Linked DNA regions of Macaca mulatta. The protein of the gene in region 2 purifies or fractionates together with the protein of the main gene of each other region. This does not show direct contact. Links are inferred from orthologs where the notes say so. Each region holds a gene or a part of one and is shown on either strand. Other genes may lie near its edges.

What was found. The genes of interacting proteins can lie anywhere in the genome.
Region 1: the proteins of CLSTN1 (region 2) and APBA2 purify together in Homo sapiens (affinity purification with western blotting; 3 studies listed by BioGRID and IntAct, with this or other methods). This does not show direct contact. The link is inferred for Macaca mulatta from reciprocal best matches to the Homo sapiens genes CLSTN1 and APBA2.
Region 3: the proteins of CLSTN1 (region 2) and KLC1 purify together in Homo sapiens (co-immunoprecipitation; 3 studies listed by BioGRID and IntAct, with this or other methods). This does not show direct contact. The link is inferred for Macaca mulatta from reciprocal best matches to the Homo sapiens genes CLSTN1 and KLC1.

What each region holds. Positions count from the first base shown.
Region 1 is NC_133412.1:9,534,380-9,538,696, forward strand, and holds the start of APBA2 (amyloid-beta A4 precursor protein-binding family A member 2), read right to left. Parts: upstream 2,846-4,317; 5' UTR 2,727-2,845; intron 1-2,726. UniProt on the Homo sapiens protein: Putative function in synaptic vesicle exocytosis by binding to STXBP1, an essential component of the synaptic vesicle exocytotic machinery. May modulate processing of the amyloid-beta precursor protein (APP) and hence formation of APP-beta.
Region 2 is NC_133406.1:231,018,141-231,021,706, reverse strand, and holds part of CLSTN1 (calsyntenin-1), read right to left. Parts: intron 2,692-3,566; coding exon 2,529-2,691; intron 1-2,528. UniProt on the Homo sapiens protein: Postsynaptic adhesion molecule that binds to presynaptic neurexins to mediate both excitatory and inhibitory synapse formation.
Region 3 is NC_133412.1:177,048,837-177,052,891, reverse strand, and holds the start of KLC1 (kinesin light chain 1), read right to left. Parts: upstream 2,846-4,055; 5' UTR 2,551-2,845; intron 1-2,550. UniProt on the Homo sapiens protein: Kinesin is a microtubule-associated force-producing protein that may play a role in organelle transport. The light chain may function in coupling of cargo to the heavy chain or in the modulation of its ATPase activity.

The DNA of each region.
Region 1 (4,317 bases), on a different chromosome or scaffold from region 2:
GGTGGGCGGCAGGGGGGTGGGGAGGAGCTCTGGGAAAGGAAGGAGCCAGAGAAGCCTCCCTGTGGGCGCTCGGCCCAACCACCATCCAAGAGAACAATGAGCACCTCCAACCCCCGCCGGGCACACAGGCTGCCTCCGGGTGAGCAACCTTCTCAAACTTCACCTACACTGGGGAGACCTGCCTGGTCATTAGTGGCTACCTTACACCCTACCTGTGCCTCCACGTCCCCAGTCCTCACGGCCACCTGGCAAGGGTGAGGAACTGAGACTGTGCAGGGAGGGCACACAGCCTGTGAGTGGTGCAGCCAGGCCCGCTGCCCAGGCCAGAGCTCTCTCCACTCTCTCTGTTTCTCTAAGGACCAGGCTGCAAGGCAGGGCATGTGATCTCTGTCGAAGCCAGTCAAGCCACCCAGTGATGTGTGCAGGGTCTCGATGCCCACCGATCGCCAGTCCTCTTCTCCCCTGGACAGTAAAGGTTTCTCCAAGACTTCAGACCATGGTGTCACCTGAAGCCCACACCTGTTGAGTCACCGGGGCAGGTATGCGTGGCAGAGGACAGCGAGGAGCGCCCAACAACAGCCCTCACCGCAGCTACCGCGGCCCGATCCAAACAAAGGCCAGATTGATGCCAACCTCACCATCAACTGTTTTTCCTCTGACTTCCTCAGTTTTGTCTAGAAAAATCAAGGTGTCTTATCACCCCTCTCGGCTTCCAGGGGTGTGATCAGTGTCGTTTACAATTATCTCTTATTTTTATCCAGTATTTCTTAGCTCAGTTGGCAAACTAGGTATTTATGCACCTCCATTTCACAATCCATCCCCACCAATTATGCCTGTAAAACTAACATTTTGTTGAGGGAAAAAAAAAAGGTTAGAACTACTTAAGAAGGTTATGTAAACAAGTTAACTAGCAGGCCACAGCTTGGGTCTGGGGTGTCAGCGAAAACATGCAAGGTGGAAGAGAATGAGGAGCTGACGGTCACCAGTTTCACCTCCTTCCAGCGCCCGCCCAACTCTCCTGCTCACACACACTCACACCCCGTGGGACTCAGCCTGCAGCTTCTCAAATCCCATGAGCCCAGGAGACAGTGGGGAGGAGCACAAACCGCACTTCCTAACAAATGAGAGGGAAGACTCGGTGCCCCATCGCTAGTGCCATCACCCCCCAGCCCAGCCATGGAGCTCACTCCAAGGGCCCCCCTGCCAATGCTGCTAGAGCCCACCAAGGGAGGGCTGCCAGCACACAGCCGCAAGCTCCAGCTTCATCCACTCACGCCCTGGACACTGCCCGGCGCCCCAGCGTTCCAGGTCCGCGTCACCCTGGCCCTCCTGTCCCGCAAATCCTAAGCTCAGGAGATTCCCTCCAGCCCAGGCTGCAGAGGGGAGCAGCTCCCATGGTTACCCAGGAATCAGTGCAGAGGGCAGGGCATCCTGGATGCCCCAGACTCGGAAACCGAGATCCTGTCCTCGGCATAGTGGCCACACCTCTGGGAAGGGAGAAACCCCTGCCTCACCTCACTGGAGGGACCCTGACCCAGAGGCCTGAGAAAACGCCGCCTGCAGGCTCCTGGCACCTGCCAACATGCACCTCAGGAAAACTTGTCCCACTTCAATCTGCAAAGCTCTCCGGTCATTATTTCTAAAACCACTGTCCTTTCTCAAAGAGGAAGGAAAACAGAAACAAACAAAAACAGAAAGAGGCACAGGAGGTTGAAGAAGCCAGAGGCAGTTTAGCCCAAAAACAGTGCCAGACGCAAGATGTCGAGTTTGGGGTGCCTCACCCTCCACATGCCCATTTAGGAGCTGACTGCACTCAACCACAGATTTACGTCTGGTGCCTGCCAGGTCCTATCTAAATAGATCTGAAAAATTAAGCCTTCCTTCTGCCAGTAAATACGAAGTTAAGATCAGCAGGCTCCTCTAAGGCTCTGCTCTCCACGGGGGTCCTTGGCAGGCGTTGGCGAAAGGAAGTTCGCCCCCTCCCCGCCTGGGCACACCGAGGCCCGCCGCCGGGCCCATGGAGCCCTGCTTGGGAACTGGGGACCTCGATGTTCTCCTTCACCATCTGAGCCAGATCTCCCGCCAGCAGCCTTGCCAGGCAGTGCCTGCCATGGGGAAGGGGCCAGGCCAAGGGGCAGGTCCGTGCCGTGCCCCCAACCGGGCACCTGCAGTCCAGGGGCAACGGGGTGTGGGGTTTTTAATTTATAAGTTTTTCCCTCTGGGCCTTATTATAAAGGGAAAGGGAAGGGGGCGAAGATCTGGGATTGGGTTCTCCGAGGGCAGCGAACCCAGAGGCGACCCCAAACTCAGTAGTTGCCGCCCGGCACGGGGACTTGATGCCGCTGCCAAGCGGCCCGGCCAGCCCGGCAGAACCCGAGCGGACAGCACCGCCACACAGCGCCTCTTGCCCCCGCCGGATGGCCCCTTGCCGCGGTGCCCCCCTGCCAGGGATGCGAGAGCCGCCGCCTGGTCCCCGCCCCGCCCGCCCGCCCTCCCGTCGTGGGAGGGGGAAGGGGCCGGTCAGAGAGGAGTGGGGCCGCCGGGCTGTACCCCCAGATCCCAGCGGCGGCCGCCCCGCAGCCACGCCAAGCCCGGAGGGCAGCGCTCGGGAGCGCTCGGGCCGCAACCTCCGCGCCGCCCCCCACGCGTCCGGGTTCTCGCGGCGCCCCGGGCGGCCCCAGGCTGCCGCCGCCGGCGAGTCAGGCAGCCCGGGTTCCCCAGCTTACCTGGCCCGGGCGCTGGGCTGCCCCGGTACGCCGCCGTCCCCGCCCCGCCGCCGCCGGCTCCGTCCGCGAGGCCGAGCTCTTTGTGAGCCCGCGCCGAGCCGCACACCGCGACTGCTAATGAGCCCGGGAAGCTGAATAGCTTCCCGAATAGCGGCGGGCGCGCCCCGGACGCAGCGTACGGCACGCAGGGCCGCCTCTGCCGGGCGCACGCGGCGCGGCTGCGGGGCGCATCCCGCACCGGCCTGTGGCTGCCGGGCCCGCGCCCCCGCCCCGGCCGCTTCCGCCTCACCCCCGCCGAGCACACCGAGGCCGGAAAACGATTCCCGGCTAGATCGCGCGCCGGGAAGAGAGGAAAGACAAAGATGCGTCCGTGCCGGGCGTGCGCGAGGCCCTGCGCCCCCTGGCCCCGGCGCTGGGGCAGTCGGCAGGGCAGGAGGGTGCACTCGGAACCTGGGTCCCGCCGGGCCGGTATCCGGGACCCGGGCTGGAACCCAGGCGCTGGAAGGCGCGGCGCCCCGAACGCCCCGGGTCCTGGGGAGCACACAGATTCCCGGGCGTGCCCTGGCCCTGCTGGCTGGGGAGCTGCAGGGGTCTGGTCCCGCAGGTAGAGCCGGTGAACGCGAGGCTCCGCACCCTACCCGGGCCGCCGCGCCGCGCCGCGCAGCTGTAATAGGGGACCCTAGAGCGAAGAACCCTCGGTTCTTCCGAAAGCCCCATCCGGCAGGGGAGGCCCCCTGCTGCCTCTCACCGCAGCTCCCTTAGGCGCATGCTGGACTCCAAGTCTTCCCTGGCGGTCCCCGGTAACCATCCCAGCACCCTGTTTCTGATACTCTGTGCTGCTTTAGCCCCCAGCCCCAGGGCCTCACTCCAGGCCTTTCTCTCCTTGCTGTCCTAAATGGAGAGGACCCTGACCTCCGCGGGACCCTGGGGAGCACACACTCCCAGACACTCACATGCATCCCCAGGGGAGCCAGTCTTCGGCCACCTACTGCTTGAGAGATCCCCTGGAGGCCCTCGAAGGTCATGCTGGAGACTCCGGTGTCACCTTCGGCCCTCTGGCTCTTTCATTGAGTCCCAGGCAGATGTGATAAGCCGTGGGAGACGTACAGGACGCCTTGTCTGGGCAGAACGAGGGCTCAGCTGCCTCCCACCCCCAAATCGTGGTGATTTGCCCTCGTTTTCTTTTCTCCTGTGGCTGGACTAGGCGAAGCTGTGGCATGGCAAGTTCTGAAGTTGGGGGGGGGGGGCACAGAAGGGCAGGGGGCCTGGGGGGTGAGGATAGCGCATCCTCCTGCTGCCCTGAGGGCCAGAGCTGAGACCCTGAGGAGAAGGGGCTGGGGGAAGCTGAATCCTGAGATGGTCTAGGGTTAGATACAGTGTGGACTTGGCCTCTCCACACCCTGCCCCCACCAAACATTCACAGGCCCCCAGGGCCAGAGTCGCCAGTGGGGGCTGCTCCTGGTAGGGGAGCTTTGTAGCCACAGGGTCAAAGGGGCAAAGGCCAGGGCACGCCAGCAAGGTTCCAGACCTATGCCCCTCCCCACTCAGATGAGCACACCTTCACTGCCTACTTTCCACCTGCATGGACATT
Region 2 (3,566 bases):
TCCTGACTATAACGACCTACCAGAAAGGCCCACATGTGGTGGCTGAGCACAGAACCAGCACTCTCCAGGTCATGTTGTAGGAGAAAGGCCGCTCCTCAAGCCCTGCAGCCCTGTAGCCCTCCCCTCTATGGTGTACTGGGGCCCCTTTTGGGCTGCGGCTGTGTGGGGACGTGTCGAGGGGCAAGGCTAGAGTTGTATCCAGGTGAAGCCCATGTGAGTCACAGGACTGTGCCACCTCCACACACACCAAGGTTCCCCTACAACAGGCTGGTGGAAGGGAATGAAGCTGCTGCCCACAGCCCAAGCTCTCCACGGCAAAGGTGCAGCAAAAGTGGCAGAATCCACCGACAAAAAAGAAGAGGAGATCCTCTCTCCTGTTAACTGAGTTTTAAAGAATCTGTGGGGCTTTTGTTTGTTTGTTTTGAGACAGAGTCTCATTCTGTTGCCCAGGCTGGAGTGCAGTGGTATGATCTTGACTCACAGAAACCTCCGCCTCCCAGGTTCAAGTGATTCTCCTGTCTCCCAAGTAACTGGGATTACAGGCGCACGCCACCACGCCTGGCTAATTTTTGTATTTTCACTAAGGACAGGGTTTTGCCGTGTTGGCCAGGCTGGTCTCGAACTCCTGATCTCGAGTGATCCGCCTGCTTCTGTCTCCCAAAGTGCTAGGATTACAGGTGTGAGCCACTGCGCCCAGCTATCTTCCATAAATTTCTAACCTTACTCGAGGTACAATGTTTCCACAGGGAGAAAGAAAAAAAATCAAAAAGTAATTGATGATGATGACATCTTGAAATGACACAGCACAGAGTCCAGTGCAAGGGTCAAAGTGGCAATCACGAACCTCTGGGGTGGGTTCCATGAACTTGGATAGGAAAAACTACATGCTTATTTCCACTAACTTCTGAAATTCAGCATTTCCTTTGGTTATAAATGTAGGCTATACATCACAGCAGTGTTAGCAATGACTGCAACTTTGTCACCAACAGAAGGCACTGATATTTGCATATCAGGCCACAGCTGTTGCAGCTGCCACCGAGATCCTCACACAGCCCTCACAACTTGGAACTTACACCACTGTTGGACCTGCTGCTAAAGCTGGTTCTTCATTTGTTAACATAAAGTACCACCGGTGTTACTGTTTCACAAATGTGGTATTTCAGGATGTTAATAACGATGTTTCAGTTGAACTGATTGCCCTGAAATCCTAGACATTTATTTTGTAGATTAGTAAGAAGGGATCTATCTGCCTTGCCAGACCACCCAAGGGCTCCACGGCACAAAAAAGGGCTTAAAACCCCAGGTCTGAGATGGGCACGGTGGTTCACACCTGTAACCCCAGTACTTTAGGAGTCTGAGGTGGGAGGATCTCTTGAGCCTAGGAGTTTGAGATCAGCCTGGGGAACACAGTGAGACCCCATGTTTATAAAAAATTAAAATAATAACAATAATAAAAACACTGATCTGGTGGGTCTGAGCGTGGGACCGGAATACAGAGGTTTTTCTTTTTCTTTTGAGACAGGGTCTCACTCTGTTGCTCAGGCTGGAGTGTAATGGGGCATTCTTGGCTCATGCAGCCTCTGCCTCCCGGTTCAACTGATTCTCCTGCCTGAGCCTCCTGAGTAGCTGGGATCACAGGCACACGCCATCATGCCTGGCTAACTTTTGTATATTTAGTAGAGACAGGGTTTCACCATGTTGGCCAGGCTGGTCTCGAACTTCTGACCTCAAGGGATCAGCCTGCCTCGGTCTCCCAAAGTGCTGGCATTATAGGCGTGAGACACCACGCCTGACCCACAGGATTTTCAAAGTAAAAAAATTCAAAACCCTAGCTCCTGATTAATCAGCTGGGTGACGCTTGGCTTGTTGCATCTCTAGGCCTGAGTTTCTTCAGCTATAAAAAAGGGATTTTAAGGTTTAGGTGAGATGACGTGTATAAAGGAGTTGGCACACAGCCTGCCACTTGGTAAGTACAAGTAACAAGCACTGGTGCTCTGGTGGTTATCGTGTCCCCTCTCAGCAGACTTCGATGGAACCCTCCCCCATGCATGGCCCTTGCTGAGGGTGAACGGAGCCCTCGCAGCCCTCCTACCAGGTCACCAAGTGATAAACACTCTGGAAGAGTCCTCCAGGTCCAAGGCACGCTTCTACTTCTGTGTCCTTTATTTCTCTGCCTGACTCTTGCTGTTGCCTCTTTGTCCTTGTGAGCCTTTCAACAGATGGATTAATTTATAAAACAGTTCCCCCCACTACACTCTCCCTCTGTGCAACGCTCCCTCCTGGGTTTCCAGGAAAGGTGACAGTGTGGTCAGTCCTATCACCTTTATGGAGCACCCACAGATGGAGCTACACTAGCTAGAGTGGGGCATCGGCAATGTCCCCAAATAGGATGTACACAGGAAATGGAAGGAAGATATCCAGGACACAAAGGTAAGGCTGTAAGACGCTGACCACAGCCTGCTGCCACCAACCTAGTAAAGAGGTACAACTTAATTCTCGAGTCGAGGGCTAGGGGTAATGACAGTTACCTTGCCAGCAAGCCCCCACCACGAGCTGAGTTTCTATCTTGGATGGATGGAGCGGGTAATCCTCAGTCACAGAGAAGGGCTCGTGGGACGTGCCATCCACATAGAGAGTCACGCTCGGGAATTCCACATTGAGGACGTAGTGGTGCCATTCCTCATCACAGACCTACAGAGAAAAAGGGAAGCGGGGGTGGTGAGATGTCCACTTTCCTTCTCATCAATGCCCATGGAAACCAAGTCACCCAAAACAAGGGTCTTCCTAGAAGGAAAAGGATGAAGAAAATCTAACCACAAAATACCTGCAAATACATCTCACCAAAAGAAGTCCAGCCTCTCTAGGCCATCTCTAAACTACGTGGCATGCATTGCTCACAACCACAGGACACAGCCCAAGCGGGGAGCTGCCCAGTTCTGCTCTGCCAATAGCATAGCACCAGAAAGTTCCTGTATGGGCAAGCTGGATACCCACCCTTTAAAGGGTTGAGTTAGTTTGCCACTGGCCATTCCTTTTCTGAATAAAAATAAAAAGTGCCTTTAGGCCAGGCGCAGTGGTTCACGCCTGTAATCCCAGCACTTTGGGAAGCCAAGGCGAGATCACTTGAGGTCAGGAGTTTGAGACCAGCCTGGCCAACATAGCGAAAACCCGTCTCTACCGAAATTACAAAAATTAGCCAGGTGTGGTGGTGCACGCCTGTAGACCCAGCTACTCAGGAGGCTGAGGCACAAGAATTGCTTGAACCTGGGAGACAAAGGTTACAGTGAGCTGAGATTGCGCCACTGCAATCCAGCCTGGTGACAGAGCAAGACTCTATCTCCCCAAAAAAAAAAAAAAAAAAAAAAAAAAAAAAAAAAAAAAGTGCCTTTAATCTCAGAATAAGGCATACCACAATACATGTATTTTATTTTCCAACTCAAAGTTGATGATCTCAATAAATATGAACATCAGCTCCAAGGGCACCCCAAATCAAACTGTGTTCCCAACCCGTGATGAATGAGCGTGTGAAACCACATCAGCCAGCTGCAGTGGTGGGCCCCTTATCT
Region 3 (4,055 bases), on a different chromosome or scaffold from region 2:
CTGAAATTTGACACTTAAATCTTCCCAAATACTCTCGTTTGAATATATTACTCTCGTTTGAATATATTACTGATCATTTCTTTGCTACATAAAATACTGGTTTCGGCCCAGGTGCAATGGCTCACACCTGTAATCCTAGCATTTTGGGAGGCTGAGGCGGGTGGATCACCTGAGGTTAGGAGTTGGAGACCAGCCTGGCCAACGTGGTGAAACCCCGTCTCTACTAAAAATACAAAAAATTAGCCTGGTGTAGTAGTGGGCGCCTGTAATCTCAGCTACTAGGGAGGCTGAGGCAGGAGAACTTCTTGAACCTGGGAAGCAGAGGTTGCAGGGAGCCGAGATCATACCACTGAACTCCAGTCTAAGCGACAGAGCAAGACTCATCTCTAAACAAATAAATAAATAAAAATAAAATACTGGTTTCTAACATTCCACTTATCTACGAAGAACATTTTCAGGCGATACTAATCCTACATTTCACTCAACTTTTGATTTTTCTATTCTAGGTTTCTTTTTATACAAGTATGTTTTAAAATAGTTTATGGCCCTATACAGAGTTACACATTGACTTTTTTCCAACACTGAGAAACATGCTTAAGAATGTATAAATTTTAAAAATGTATAAATTTGGGCCAGGCGCAGTGGCTCACGCCTGTTAATCCCAGCCCTTTGGGAGGTCAAGGTGGGCAAATCATGAAGTCAGGAGATCGAGAACATCCTAGCTAACACGGTGAAACACCGTCTCTACTAAAAACACAAAAAATTAGCTGGGCGTGGTGGCGGGCGCCTGGAGTCCCAGCTACTGGGGAGGCTGAGGCAGGAGAATGGCGTGAACCCGGGAGGCGGAGCTTGCCATGAGCAGAGATCGCACCACTGCACTCCAGCCTGGGCAACAGAGCAAGACTCCATCTCAAAAAAAAAAAAAAAAAAAAGTATAAAATTTAAATGAGTGCAGTTATTTGTTATGAAATATTTAAGACACTGTGTGCCTCTCCCCAGTGTCATTCCCTTCCCCTTTGCTGGAGATAAACGCTGTCCAGTACACAGACTCCTGTGCACGTCTGGATGCTTTTCTAAGACAATGCTAGGCAAGGTGAGGTGCGCAAGGCTGCAGTAGGGTTAGAGGTTACCACCTGGGTCCTCCACAGCACTCAGTGCCAGACAGGGCTGCCAGGCTCAACCGCAACATGATGTTGCATTCTTTGATGACTTGGAGAGACACTGGCTCTTTAGAGTGCCTACCCTCCCACACAGAATTCCATACAAGTTGAAATACACTTCATACTTGGTATCATTGTATTCCTACAAATATTTAGGAAACAGAGCAATAGGTCAAATTTCTCACCATAACAGGCTTGTTGGCAATACCTGAAAGAAGCAAGGCCATGGCTGTAATATAACTTAAGGAGGTCGTTCCAGTTTCCTAATGCGTTTTTCACTAAACTAGTGCAATGTATTCCGAGCTGATTCTGATCAATGGCTTAGTCATGCCATACCAAAAAAAAAAGGCCTTGGAATTTAACTAATGCAAAGAATCAAAGCTCTAACTGCCCTTTTACAGAACACCTGAAATAGTATATCTCAAATTTTTTGTTCTCACATTTTTTAGAAGCATCATTTTTGTAAGTATTCCTTTATAAATGCTTAATATGTAAATTCTTAATGCATTGAAATAATAAAAAGTAACAGGCAGCAACAATTCCAATACAAATATACCTAGAAACGACCTACAAATATTAAGTATAAAACCATCCACTCCATCACGCATTAATTTCACTTTTTTAACGCTTTATTTTAATTTTCCTAGGGAAAAGGGTGCACCCAATTTTACATCGAAAAAGCATTCCAGGACGGGGGCTGCTTCAACTTTAGTTGGAGCAACGCCAGCTTAGGTGAACAGGGTCGCCTGAAACGTTTCACATCTGGTTACCGAAAAAAACGGGTCGCCAAAGAGGCGAAGCGGAGTCGGCTCTCGGGAGGGACCCGGCCCCCCGCCGCCCGCGAGGATGACAGGCGCGTCCGCTCAGGGCGGTGCCGGGAGAGGCGGGGGTGGAAGGAAGAGGAGGAATCGGACAAAGCCAGCCCCGCCGGGCCTCCGGCCTCCCCGCCCGCCGCGATCCCGGGGGCGGCCACCTCCCCTGTCGCGGGCTCCCGGGGTCCACAGCTGTCCCCGGGAAAGGCCGCCGCCGCCCGCAGCTGGGCCGAGCCGCGGATGCGGGACCAGGGCGGGGCCCTGGGCAGGGTCGAGGACCGGAACCTGCAGTGGGACGCGGATGGGGAGGACGCACGGCGCCGGGAGCTGGGGCTGGGAAAGGGGCCGGGGACAGGAACCCGACCTGAACCTGCAAGGGGTCGCGGACCGGCCGGGGCGGTGAACTGGGGCGGGTACCGGGGTGGGAACCGACAGGGTCTGGGACCCAAACCGGGACAGGGACCTGGATGCAGACGGAGTTGCGCCCGGGGCAGGTCCGAAAAGGAGCGAGACAGGGCCGGGGCGGAGGATGAGGAGGGGGCCGGGGCCGCGGTCCGGGGCGCACGCCGGGGACTCACCGTCCAGCTCCTGAGGGCCGCGCTGTCTCGCGCTGTCAGCACCAGGAGCGCCGCCGGGCGCGCGCGCGGAGCAGCGACCGCGCGCCGAGCCCGCCTCGGCTGTGTGAGGCGCGGCGCAGCAGTCACGAGCGAGGGGCGCCGCCGCCCCGTAGCATCCTCAGCCGCCCGCGCGCTGTCCCCTTGGCCGCCGAGCACAGCCCCGCGGCTCCTCCTCGCAGCGGCAGCGGAGCCGACCCAGCCAGTCCCGCTCGGCCGCCTGCGCCTCTCCCGCCGCCGAAAATGGCGTCTCAGTGTTGCTCCCGCGGCGCCCCGCCTCGCCCCGCCCCACAATGCCGCGCGCCGGCATGACGTCATCGCCTCTCGCGCCGCCCGGGGCTGGGGAAACTGAGGCTGGGTGGCTCTCAGCAAGCGCTCGGCGAGCTGGGGACTGGAGGGGCGAGGAAGCTGTTTGGGTATCAGGAGGGCGGTCACAGGGAACAGGGTGACGGTGCAGGACGCCGCGGGCCTCCCGGCTGGAACACGGACGGGGGCGGGGCGCTTGGGGCAGGGCGCGGCTCGCGGGGTGGGCGGCCAGGCCCTGGCCTCTCCGACCTCACAGCCGCGATGACCGAGCGCTTCGGCACCTTCCCCTCCAGCCGGGCTGTGGGCACTACCGAAATGCGGCCGGGGAAGGTGCAGGCCTGGCCGCAGCCGCCACCACTGGGCTCCCGCCCCGCCCCACTCGGAGGCCCGCGAGCTTCGTGCGCTCATTTCGGTCCCCCCAAAACCCCATTAGGAAGCCTTTGGGAGCCCCCGGAATCACAGGATCCCGGCCAGGCCTTTCTCCCTTCTCCAGGAAAACCGACAGCCTTTGGTCGAGACCCTGATCCCTAACCCTGCGCCTCCCTCTCCTCGGGGCTTTTGGACCCTCGTATCTGTACGAGGAGACTTTCCAGGCGCTCCCCCTCGACACAAACTGCGCCTCAGACGGGCAAAGGGGAAGGGCCGGGGTGTAGGCTGTGAGGGTGGGAGACATCCACTCTCTGACCCCACGCAGCCACCGGCGCATCTCCCTGGCTGCAGGGCCTCGACCTCCAGCCCGGCCTGAAGGGCAACGGAGCGGGCCTGGGTCAAGTCCTGCGGCTTCGCCGGCTCCGCAGGCCTGACTCAGCAGCCAGCCGGGAGGGCATGCTGATTCAGTGGGCGAGGCTCCACTCGCTGCTGCCAGCGGCTTGGGATAAGCCCTCCCAGTGCCTGCAGACGTCCCAAATGCGGGGCCCGGAGGCATCGTTTAACCTGGAGGGGTTCCTGGGCCAGTCCCCGAACCCCATCTTGTGAACTGCTGTTCCTTTCCGATGTTACCACCCAGCACCAGCAGCCCTGTGTGAACCCTGCAGTTATGCCCCGCAGTCACCAGAGAAGCAACTGCATCCCGGTTTTCCCAGGGAGGTCTGGTTACTTTTATCTCATTTATAAAGACAAAGGTGGGCTGGCCGGGCGCGGTGGCTCAAGCCTGTAATCCCAGC